Saccharomyces cerevisiae S288C: one gene and its partners. The protein of the gene in region 2 purifies or fractionates together with the protein of the main gene of each other region. This does not show direct contact. Each region holds a gene or a part of one and is shown on either strand. Other genes may lie near its edges. The genes, in order: RQC1, RPL22A and NOG2.

Region 1 (4,561 bases), on a different chromosome or scaffold from region 2:
CGAACCTGGCTAGCGACTTTTTGTGCCTCTCCTCCTCCTTTGCCTTTCTTTCTTCTGCTCCGGCTACGTGTTTAAAATGTTGTTCTATCATTTGAGAAACCTTTTTGGCTCTTGCTATTCTTGCCTTTGTTGAACTTCTAAACAGCTTACTCATATGAATACCTTGGTTAATTAAGTGATCGGTATGGATTTGCAGATCTTGTTGTTTATAGAAATATGAAATCGGGTCTGGTTTATATGTTATGATAGTCTTGATTTCCTTGGATGTTATAGGTTGTAGTGAGTCCGTTTCTTTGTCATACTTCAATGCGCCATTTTCAATACCTTTTTTGAGTCTCGATAAAAGCCGTCTTTGTTCGTCGATGTATTTATTATATTCTTCCAGCGTTAAATCGTCTTCTAATGACTTAAAGGAAGCGATGTATTCGTGCAAGCTTTCGTATCCCGGCTTGACTACATGCAACGGGTTCGTTATGGTTTGCTTTGGAGGATGGACTACCAGTTTTATTCTAGGCTTCTTTTTCTTTCTACCTCTTTTTTTCTTTATATCTTCCTCTTCGGATGATGTGGTGAAATAAAAATTATCACTATAATGTTCACTAGTATTTTCAAAGGAGCTATCATCAGAAGGACACTTTATAGTGAAGGCTTCAGAGGGTTCTTCAACTTTTGCGATGTGATCATATCTCTCTTCAGCTATATGTTCATGCAATGGCAGTGGATTTTCCTTTCTTTCACTTTTGAACTTCAAGGACTTCGCTGCTTCTCTCTTCTTCAAATGTTGTATTGGTCTTTTTTGCGGTACTATAGATTTCCTATTTGAATGATCACTTAGTTTGTATTTTAGCTCCTCACATTTATTTCGTACTAATGGTGCTATGCTTTCTAACTTCAGTTCTATATCACCCTTTTTCTCATTAGTCGTTTCTGAACTAACAACTGTCGATGTCCTGAGGTTTCGCCTTCTGCGAGTAAGATCACCATTCGTGCCTTTCTTGGCTACGTCATCAGTGAATTTTTCTCCTCTCTCCTCTAACGACAAGTGTGTTTCCCTGAGAAACTTCTGAAAACTTTCAGAATCATTAAAATGGGTTGGATCATAATCTACCAATGAAACAAACTCTCTTAAATGGAACAGTTCATTCGTCAGAAGATCATACCTAAACTTCAAATCCGCCAGATCCTGTTCACCACCAGCCTTTTTGTCTTTCGCATGCGATTTACGAGATGTGGTCATATATTCTTGTAATGCAATAACTTGGAAAATGCAAAGAGCAGTTAGAATTCATAAATTTTCAGCTTAAGGAAATATTTTCTAAGAGTTAAAATGGTATTGTTGAATACCTCTCAAATGCAGTAATCGAATGCTTTGGGTCTTATCTAGTTTAAAGCTCAAAATCTATCCTTTTTGCACGTAAACACTTTAGAATCCCGCTATCCCTTTGCACTCTTTCTTCAAGTCTCCTCTTTTTTTTTTTTCTCGTAAGTTGTCGCGAAACGCCACCGAAAAATCTTAAGGAAATAATATTAAAAACTGAAAAAAAAAAAATTGAGAAAGTATTACCCTCCCTTAATAATCGTATAGAGGTATAAACGGGTAACATTATGCGAGCAATATGTTCACTACTGCATCAACGTATAGTGAAAAATGTCCATAGGTAGTACATACAGTCCACCAGTTGAAGGTTAACATACAGGTCGTTGAATCATCTAAATATATTTGTAAAGTACTCGAACATGAGCTCTAGAGCATTAAGGAGATTACAAGATGATAATGCTCTGCTAGAGTCGCTGCTATCGAATTCAAATGCGAATAAAATGACGAGTGGTAAAAGTACTGCCGGTAATATTCAGAAACGGGAGAACATCTTCTCTATGATGAATAACGTACGTGATTCAGATAATAGCACTGATGAAGGACAAATGTCTGAGCAGGATGAAGAAGCTGCTGCTGCTGGGGAGCGTGATACTCAAAGTAATGGTCAACCTAAAAGAATTACACTAGCATCCAAGTCTTCTAGAAGGAAAAAGAATAAAAAGGCAAAAAGGAAGCAAAAAAACCATACCGCCGAGGCTGCAAAAGACAAGGGTTCCGATGATGATGATGATGATGAAGAATTCGACAAGATTATCCAACAGTTCAAAAAAACTGATATATTGAAGTACGGTAAGACTAAAAATGATGACACTAATGAGGAAGGTTTCTTCACGGCATCTGAACCAGAGGAAGCATCTAGCCAACCTTGGAAGTCATTTTTAAGCTTAGAAAGTGATCCGGGCTTCACAAAGTTCCCCATTTCATGTTTGAGGCATTCTTGCAAATTTTTTCAAAATGATTTCAAGAAATTGGACCCCCATACGGAATTCAAACTTTTATTTGACGATATATCTCCAGAGTCTCTTGAAGATATTGATTCGATGACATCCACACCTGTCTCCCCTCAGCAGCTGAAACAGATTCAGAGACTGAAAAGATTAATTAGAAACTGGGGCGGAAAAGATCATAGATTGGCACCTAATGGCCCCGGAATGCACCCGCAACATTTGAAGTTTACCAAGATCAGAGATGATTGGATCCCAACTCAAAGAGGTGAGCTCTCTATGAAACTTTTAAGTTCTGATGATCTTTTAGATTGGCAATTATGGGAAAGGCCGTTAGATTGGAAGGATGTTATCCAAAACGATGTCAGTCAGTGGCAAAAATTCATTTCTTTTTATAAGTTCGAACCTTTAAATTCCGACCTGAGCAAGAAATCAATGATGGACTTCTACTTAAGTGTTATTGTTCACCCTGATCATGAAGCCCTTATAAATTTGATTTCTTCTAAATTTCCGTATCATGTGCCTGGACTGCTACAAGTTGCTTTGATATTTATTAGGCAAGGTGATAGATCAAACACTAATGGATTGTTACAAAGAGCACTCTTTGTCTTTGATAGAGCTTTGAAAGCAAATATTATTTTCGATTCCTTGAATTGTCAACTACCTTATATATACTTCTTCAACAGACAGTTTTACTTGGCAATATTTAGATACATCCAATCTCTTGCTCAAAGAGGTGTTATAGGAACTGCTAGTGAATGGACAAAAGTTCTCTGGTCACTGAGCCCATTGGAAGATCCTTTAGGATGCAGGTATTTCCTCGATCACTATTTTCTATTGAATAATGACTATCAGTACATTATAGAATTATCCAACTCTCCATTAATGAACTGTTATAAACAGTGGAATACTTTAGGATTTTCCTTGGCGGTAGTACTAAGCTTCCTAAGAATAAATGAGATGAGTTCCGCCCGCAATGCGCTTCTAAAAGCCTTTAAGCATCATCCTTTACAACTGTCAGAACTTTTCAAGGAGAAACTCTTGGGCGATCATGCGCTAACTAAAGATTTATCCATTGATGGCCATTCGGCAGAAAACTTGGAATTAAAGGCATATATGGCCCGCTTCCCGTTACTTTGGAATAGAAACGAAGAGGTAACATTTTTGCATGATGAAATGTCGAGTATTTTACAGGATTACCATAGAGGAAACGTTACAATCGATTCAAATGATGGGCAAGATCACAATAACATTAACAACTTGCAATCACCTTTCTTTATTGCGGGAATCCCAATTAACTTATTAAGATTCGCCATACTATCTGAGGAGTCTTCTGTAATGGCTGCAATTCCATCATTTATCTGGTCTGATAATGAAGTATATGAGTTTGACGTATTACCACCAATGCCTACGTCAAAAGAATCAATCGAAGTGGTTGAAAACATCAAAACCTTTATTAATGAAAAGGATTTAGCTGTCCTTCAGGCAGAAAGAATGCAAGATGAGGACCTGTTGAATCAAATTAGACAAATATCTTTGCAACAGTACATTCATGAAAATGAAGAGTCAAATGAAAATGAGGGTTAATAAGAAATGTTGCAGCTCATTTTCTAGTACGCAGAGTAAGGCTAAAGCACTTATTTGAATTTAACGTTATTCATTGCATAGTTCAGAAAGGGTGTGATCCAAAAGAAAATGCATATACGAGTGGTCCGACGTTTACATATGTACTAGTGACTGTATATTAATATATGCACATTTATGTAGCTACGGATTTCACTTTATAAAAGATCTTCTTTTTTGATATTCTAATATTCGTAACAATGATTTCAACGGGTAGACAGGTGCCAAACTGCTGGCAAAGATTAAGTTGGAAGCATCTCCTTTCGTCATCTTAGTATTTACATAAGTAGTAACATCATCCAAAGATAATCTAATAAAATCTTTTGAGGACTCACCATATACTTTCTTTAGCTTTCTGAAAACAAAGTCTCTTTGTTTTGACGTAGGAACTGTTTGTCTCCATTTCGAGTATTTACTAGATATTGCCTGGTATTGCATTGTTTGTCCTTCCAAGTCCGAATTTAGAGTATTTATGATTTTTTCCACCTTTGACATTACATTCCAAAGATTAGCGTCTTTTATTATACTTTTTGGAACATAGTCCGCGTATTTATTTGTTATAAAACACGGTAATTGTCGATACATTTTTAGATGATATACCATCGACAATTTGTCT
Region 2 (3,030 bases):
ATTGAATCAAACCCAAGAGTTTACTGGTGACAAATTGATCGAGTTTTATAAATCTCCAGAACAGAAAAACAACATAGGGAGATACGTTCACATTATTGAGGATTCTCCAGTCTTCCCAGTTATTATGGACAGCAAAGATCGTGTTTGCTCCCTGCCACCATTAATCAATAGTGAACATTCGAAGATCTCTGTGAACACCCGTAACATTTTGATTGATATAACCGCCACCGATAAGACCAAAGCCGAGATCGTTTTGAACATATTAACTACAATGTTCTCACGTTATTGTGACGAACCATTCACGGTTGAGCCTGTAGAAATTGTCTCTGAACACAATGGCCAATCCCGTTTGGCGCCAAACTTCAACGATAGAATTATGGATGTCTCCATTAAGTACATCAACTCCTGTCTTGGCCTAGATCAATCCGCTGATGAAATTGCTCATTGTCTAAAGAAGATGTCGTTGCATGCCGTTCAATCAAAGGAAGACAAGGACATCTTGCACGTTGACATTCCGGTAACTAGACCTGATATTTTGCACGCTTGTGATATAATGGAAGATGCCGCTGTCGGTTATGGTTTCAATAATTTGCCAAAGGGTGAGAAATTATCCAATGCCAACTTCATTGCCAAACCATTACCAATCAACAAGGTTTCTGATATTTTCAGAGTTGCATCCTCTCAAGCCACGTGGGTTGAGGTTTTACCATTGACCTTATGTTCGCACGATGAAAACTTTAAATTTCTAAGACAATCCGACAATGGTGATTTAGCTGTCAAATTGGCCAACCCAAAGACTTTGGAATACCAAGTTGTTAGAACCACTTTATTGCCTGGTATCTTAAAGACAGTCAAGGAAAACAGAAAACATTCCTTGCCAATCAAAGTCTTTGAAACCGGTGACGTTGTATTTAAAGACGACAAACTAGAAAGGAAGGCGTACAATGAACGTCACTGGGCTGCCATCTACGTGGGTAAGAATTCTGGGTTTGAAATCATTCAAGGGTTATTGGGTAAAATCATGCAAACTTTTAGAACAGAGTGGATTGCAGACTACGGTGCTGCTGCTTCTGGCAGAGGTTACTGGATTGAAGAAGACGATTCTGTGAAAACCTACTTCCCAGGTAGAGGTGCCAAGGTCATGTTCAGATCCAAAGAAGGCGCTGAGCCAAAGCAAATCGGCCACTTGGGTGTCTTGCATCCTGAAGTCATGATGAATTTCGACGTTCCATTCGCTGCATCCTTTGTAGAGGTTAATGCCGAAGTCTTCCTATAATGTAATGTTCTAACAAAAATTTTTACTGATTTATAAAACTTATATAGATAGATAGACACATATATATATCTATATATAGAAACACAACTAAAGTTTACCATGTTTTATATAATATTACTACCGCTACTGAGTAAATGTTTAGCTTGTACTTAACTTTCAAAGACAGTTTTTTTGATAAACATCAGTACATTTAATAATACATCCATACATTTATGTTAATTTGTTTTTCCTTTCCACCTCAGTGCGCTTCTCTTTTGAAAAAATCCTCAACAGGCCACGCGAACAAATCTTACCGAGAATTTCCTAAAATGTTTCAAACTATCATTTAGCTGCATACAATATGTACATTATTAATTGAGATTAACAACTTTACCTGTACTTTACCGTTATCAAATTATAAACCACCAAAACAACAGATTAAGAAACAATGGCCCCAAACGTATGATACTTTAAAAGGAATCCACGCCCGATTACGAAGTCTATGTTTTACTGTTATTGTAATGATTGATTGTACGCGAATAACAAGGAAGATAGTAAAACCAAAAAAAAAAAAATAAAAATGTACGAAACGAAGAAGCGTCTATGTGTTTAGTTGCTTTTCTGTATTTTAAAAATTCACTACTTGAACATTGAACTCTATATCGACTCCCTTCTTTTTATCCGTTTCTGAATGTTTTTTTGTTTGAGATTGTCATATGTGATTGTTAATAGCAGTAGGCAACTTTGTGGTTTCGGGATTGAAAGAAAATCGTGAAATATTCGTTTTTTACTAACATTACTGTTCTGAAAATTTTTACTAATTTTCAATCTTTAATTTTTTTGATATAGACTTCCAGAAAGCAAAAGATTGCCAAGACCTTTACCGTCGATGTCTCTTCTCCAACTGAAAACGGTGTCTTCGACCCAGCTTCCTACGCTAAGTACTTGATCGACCACATCAAGGTCGAAGGTGCTGTCGGTAACTTGGGTAACGCTGTCACTGTCACTGAAGATGGTACCGTTGTTACTGTTGTTTCCACTGCCAAGTTCTCTGGTAAGTACTTGAAGTACTTGACAAAGAAGTACTTGAAGAAGAACCAATTGAGAGACTGGATCAGATTTGTCTCTACCAAGACCAACGAATACAGATTGGCCTTCTACCAAGTCACTCCAGAAGAAGACGAAGAAGAAGACGAAGAATAAATTCATTAATATTATTTTAAATAGAGCATAAGTTTTGTATAATTAAAATCTTCTAAACCTAATAAATATGTTTAATGAATGATTCAATATCAAAAAAAGAAATCCATTGGGCCCTTAGTGCATTTTTATTTTTTTTTTTTTTTTTTTTTTTTTTCTCTTTCTGAATTAGAGTACATCTCATCGCAGGGTCTCTTTTTGCACGTTTTTGATGTTGCTTATGAGACGCTTTGCCTTTTTAACTTCTTCAGTATATTTTAAATATATACCAATTTATTCACAATATCATTACTCTTCTCAGTTTCCAATTAACATGAATCCTAAAAAAGTGGCCCAATTGCCCGTTCACAATAAATCAACGCTTCCACCACAGGAAATAATCGATCTTTTTAAAATAACATTCTTAGAAGAGCTATATCCAAAAGATCAAGACAATGAAAAGTCACCGTTAACTGAACAAATACAGGCGGTAAAATCTGACCTTTATAACAGAGATTACAATGCTGCTTTCAATAACGACTCGAAAAGAATAGCATATTGTTGTCGTTGGTCACCGTCCAGAGCAACAAGTTACG
Region 3 (4,592 bases), on a different chromosome or scaffold from region 2:
TTTACAGGCATCCCTTGAGGAAACATTCTTGCTCTATTAACCTTTGGCGAATACACCTGAGGTCCCATGTTTTGCTGCTGGTGTTGTTCAGAAGCCTGCCTCTGAGAGAAAAACTGCTCACCTCCTACAGCTAATACCCTCGGTTGTACATTCATAGATTGCATAATCCTTTTTGACCCTTTATAAATGTATAAAATTGAGTTGCCTGTTTCTAATCGTTCGAAGTATTTCCAGTATGAAAAACAAGGAAGCCCTGATAACGAGACACGCTAATAAACTTCAAACTGATCTTTCTTGTCAGTTATCATTCTACTACTATAATTGAAAAGACTCAATAAAGAAAATATCATAATGATGAAAAAAGAGCGAGCAGCGGGTAAGGACCGAATTCCGTTTGGAATGACTGGTATAATGAGATTTACCTTATACTATAGAGAGGGCTATATCATTACCGAACTTAAGTTTTCTATTGGAATATTATACTTTATAAACTAAATAATTACCCATCTATGTTGTTTCCCCAAGAATGTTTGCTGCCATATAATAAGAACAAAAAAAAAAATAACAAAAAAAAAGAAAAAAAAAATCACTTGTAATCTTAAATTAATATTATACACCGGTTGTCCGTTTTTACCTCTATGCCGTCTTCTCAACTTCTTTCTTCTTTGGTTTTTCTTCCCCTTCCTTTTCAGGTGGAAGGACGAACCAAGGGATTTTACCTCTATTAAAATCATTCAATATTTGCTTAGAAACACCAGACTCATCAGGCTCACCACCCTTCAGTAATCTACCTTGTTTCCTTGCCAGAATTTCAATAAACTCCGTGGCATCCTTCCATCCTGAGATCTCGTAAGTTCTTTCCAAGTGCTTTACCTGACAACGTTTTAAAACACCTGGAATATATTGTTCTGGGTGTGTGACGTGTTCGACTCTGACAACACCTCTGAATAAAATGTCTTCTTCGGAGTCTTTACTAGAAGGCGGCACAATACCTGGACAATCAATCAAAAAAATTCTTTTCATAAGAGTAATATATTGCCAGACCTTAGTTTCACCAGGGATTGGTGCAACTTGACACACCTTTTTCTTTCTCAATGTGTTAATGATGGACGATTTACCAGTGTTTGGATAGCCGATAAACCCTACAGATATTTGCTTTCTATCAGTATGCAACTGTGAGAACTGACGTAGCAACTGAATTAACGAACCTTTACCGAAAGAGTTGGTAATAGATGCGTGAAACGCCAAAGTTGGACGTTCCTTTGACAAATGTTTGACCCAAGCTGCCTACTTGTAAAGTTAGAATTGAAAAAAAAAAACCTTCTGTTAGTAAAAAATACATTTTGTTTCATAATAGGTAATCTTTTGCCCCAAGAGAATGTAATAATCATTGTTATAGCCGAGATTGATTGTTTCGAAGAGTGGATTAAACTAAAAAAAAAAAAAAAGTAGAAAATTGTGAGGATCTTTACTACGAACATATTGTATGGAGCCCGAGATAAAGTCTCAAATAACAAAAGCTCAACTCATAAGATCCTCGCTGTTCTAAAAAGCGAAGGTATACCTTTAAAACAAAGGTTGTCCTTCTAATTTACCCATGAGGCTTCCCCAGAACGGGGAAATATGGATAAGCGAACAGTATTACTCTTCCAAAACAGTAACAGACACTTCTGTAGATAAGTTTATCCTAAAACGGATAGAGAAGCACCCTGACAAAAAGGTTTGGTAATAAAAATCATACTCTATCGAAAAAAAAAATCTCTCGTGCTATCCTCTTGGTTGGAAAGAATCAAAAAAAAAAAAAAAAAAGTTAACATACTGCAACCCAGGTAGGTACCAAATCACACTTATTAAGAACATAAATTAAATGCTTGTGTGGTGTTTCCTTCTTCATATACTCTTCCACGGACTTACAACGGGTACCCAATGGATCCCTTGCATCTAGAACATGTATTACCACGTCAGACGAATCGATGACTTTATATAATTCGTTCCAAATACGTTTGGATTGACCCTTACTGAAAATAGCTTCTTTTGCTGCGGAGGTCCACCCATTTTCTTTGTCTTCCTGGTTCCCCATTAGTCCTAATGTGGCATCTAAGACTTGCTTTTCCTCATACTTGGTAATGTCTTCATTTGTAGCCTTGACCAAGTCCTCTAGATTGGATGCAGCAAGACGTGGTCTCTTTCTTTGGGCTTTGGGCCCAAACGCATCAGCATAACTTTCGGTATCCAAAATTCTGGCTTTTGGGGATTCATCTGCGTCCTTTTCTTCCAACAATGACATGGGAAGCTTATTTCTTCTCAGAAGAACTTGATATGTATCTTTTTGGGTTTCACCCAATGCACTTCTGAAATGCTGCAGTGCGTCCTGAGATATCACTCTTGTGTTACCGAACCAACGACGATCTGGTTGGACCCTCGCATCCGGTATTGTGGAGTCCTGGAAAGAAGCGGCCCTAATTAAATTACCTTTCTTATTCCTGATCTCCTTCCCACTAGTGTACATATTCAGGAATTTGACTCTCTTGGAGTCTCTGTAGAAATTTTCACCCTTCACACGAAGATTACCATCTTTGGTGTCACCTTCACGAATACGTCTAGATTTCTCTTTCTTACCAGTACCCATTGTATTATTCCTCCCCTGATATTTAGTGGTTTTGCTGCAAGTCAACAGATCTTCAAAGTTAACACTTAAGGGAAAGTACTAACAAGTAGTAAATATCTTTTATATATTCTACGCTTCTTTATATGCCCAAAAAGAAGAAAAGTGAAAAATTTTTCTTCAAGCGAAAAATTTTTGCGATGAGCATCGGGCAAAAAAACGTGCTAAATGACAGGTTGTGTTTATATATTTGTTATTGATTCTATATTATAGTAAATTGGTGAGAACATTACCCAAGTCTTTGGACCCAGAGGATTGCTGCTTGATATCAGAGGGAGCATTGGCACGGCTTGTTTCCACACGACGTTGTTTAAATTCCCTGTGAGGGTGAGAATCTGCAGACTCTCCTTCTTTTCCGGCGCGCTTCCTAGAGTTCTTAATGTTTTGTATCATCTTACTTTGCTCCACGTTTCTAATGAATTCCGCGTTCAGTTTGTTGGCCTGCGAGATTTCCATCTCCAACTTGGCCTGTCTGATATCGTTCTCGCGGGCAATCTGTTCAGTCAAATCTGCCCATTTGAAACCTGGGAGGTACTTCACGTTCAGGATATCATCATGGTAGAAAGTACCTTTCTTGCCACCAATAATGTTCCCGTTCAACGTCTCCGCACACAATTTGGCGTCTCTTTTCCTAATAAACTCGGCCCAACCTTCTTCATACTTGTTTTTCTTGTTTCCTCCACCTTTAACTCTTTGCTTGTACTTTTGATCGTCCTCTTTCTTTAGAAATAGTCTATCTACCTCACCAAAACGAGTTAATATTTGTCTCATTTTTGCAGGTTTCATGTAAGGTGGAATACTGGAGAAGTATACCACCCCAGTCTTGTGTTTAGACTTCTTGGCGGCCTTTGATTTTACCAGTTGCCTTAGTTTTTCTGTTTTTAAATCCAGTGAAGTGGTGGACGAAGCTTGTTCTTCTACTTCTCGATCGAGCTTTTCTCCATTCTCTTTATCTGGTTGTTCTACATCCTCTTTTTCTTCTTGTTTTTGCTCTTCTTCTATGTCTGACTCGTTTTCACTTTCGATGTCTTCTACCTTCTTACTGAAGATATCATCCTTACTAGAAATTTTTTTCTTGGTCTGAATTAAGACGTTATGTTGATCGGTTTCCTCATCTGAGGAAAAGTCTTCAAAGTCACTATTTACTTTTTCACTCATGCGTAAAAATTTACTTCACTCTGCTGCAGTAAACTGTTTGCTTTGTACTTACATAGCAATGGGTAGTTTGTCAGGTTGAAATTTTTCAAAATCTTAATAGCGAAAGTTTTACTGCGCAATGTGAGAAAAGCTGGCTATAACGAAGTAATTCAAAATAATAAAACAAGAGAAAGAAAAAATTTACACGTCATTGCCTTTGGAAATGTGATCAGACAGACCCAATATCACCGTTTAAATATTCTTCACGAGATAATGTAGTTTGTCAATTGAAACGCTATTTGGTGGCTGGCTAATCAAATATGGTCGATGAAGGGGTTGTCAATCCAGCAGCCCTTAAAGAATTGTCGCTATCTGTTTGTTCCTATAATTAATTTGCACTGAAAAGATACATGTGCATTATTGCAGTATATTATAAGGAATTCCGGAGTTTTCTAGTAACTTTCTAGTCGCGCAACCGAGAGATGAGTACTACAACGCAACCTATTTGGTAGTGCATCCTACACATTGTGAACGTTTTTGGTTCATATTACAATATTACGATATTACGAATTTTACCCTTTCTTTAATACTAACTTTGATCAGAAAGCACCTTTATCAATATGGCCACGTCTGGGAAGTCGGTCATAATCAAAAGGCTACAGGCTTTGGGGTTTGAAATATCAATATACGAATTGTGAGACTTTGTTTTATCTTAGGGACGAAAATGGATGTGTGAAATTACTTATGGAAGGATCAATAATAGCAACGTTTGCTAATGTGTTAAGATGGC

The links.
Region 1: the proteins of RPL22A (region 2) and RQC1 purify together in Saccharomyces cerevisiae (affinity purification with mass spectrometry; 3 studies listed by BioGRID). This does not show direct contact.
Region 3: the proteins of RPL22A (region 2) and NOG2 purify together in Saccharomyces cerevisiae (affinity purification with mass spectrometry; 2 studies listed by BioGRID). This does not show direct contact.

The regions. Positions count from the first base shown.
Region 1 is NC_001136.10:1,132,608-1,137,168, reverse strand, and holds RQC1 (Rqc1p), read left to right. Parts: upstream 1-1,737; coding exon 1,738-3,909; downstream 3,910-4,561. Other genes in the region: chromatin-remodeling protein SWR1, read right to left, coding at 1-1,237; IRC3 (double-stranded DNA-dependent ATPase), read right to left, coding at 4,099-4,561. UniProt on the Saccharomyces cerevisiae protein: Component of the ribosome quality control complex (RQC), a ribosome-associated complex that mediates ubiquitination and extraction of incompletely synthesized nascent chains for proteasomal degradation.
Region 2 is NC_001144.5:261,491-264,520, forward strand, and holds RPL22A (60S ribosomal protein eL22 RPL22A), read left to right. Parts: upstream 1-1,703; coding exon 1,704-1,715; intron 1,716-2,104; coding exon 2,105-2,458; downstream 2,459-3,030. Other genes in the region: FRS1 (phenylalanine--tRNA ligase subunit beta), read left to right, coding at 1-1,276; BMT6 (25S rRNA (uracil2843-N3)-methyltransferase), read left to right, coding at 2,667-3,030.
Region 3 is NC_001146.8:720,484-725,075, forward strand, and holds NOG2 (putative GTPase NOG2), read right to left. Parts: upstream 2,630-4,592; coding exon 1,820-2,629; intron 1,729-1,819; exon of another isoform or gene 1,455-1,728; intron 1,288-1,454; coding exon 637-1,287; downstream 1-636. Other genes in the region: CCR4-NOT core DEDD family RNase subunit POP2, read right to left, coding at 1-164; RNA-binding ATPase activator ESF2, read right to left, coding at 2,873-3,823. UniProt on the Saccharomyces cerevisiae protein: GTPase that associates with pre-60S ribosomal subunits in the nucleolus and is required for their nuclear export and maturation.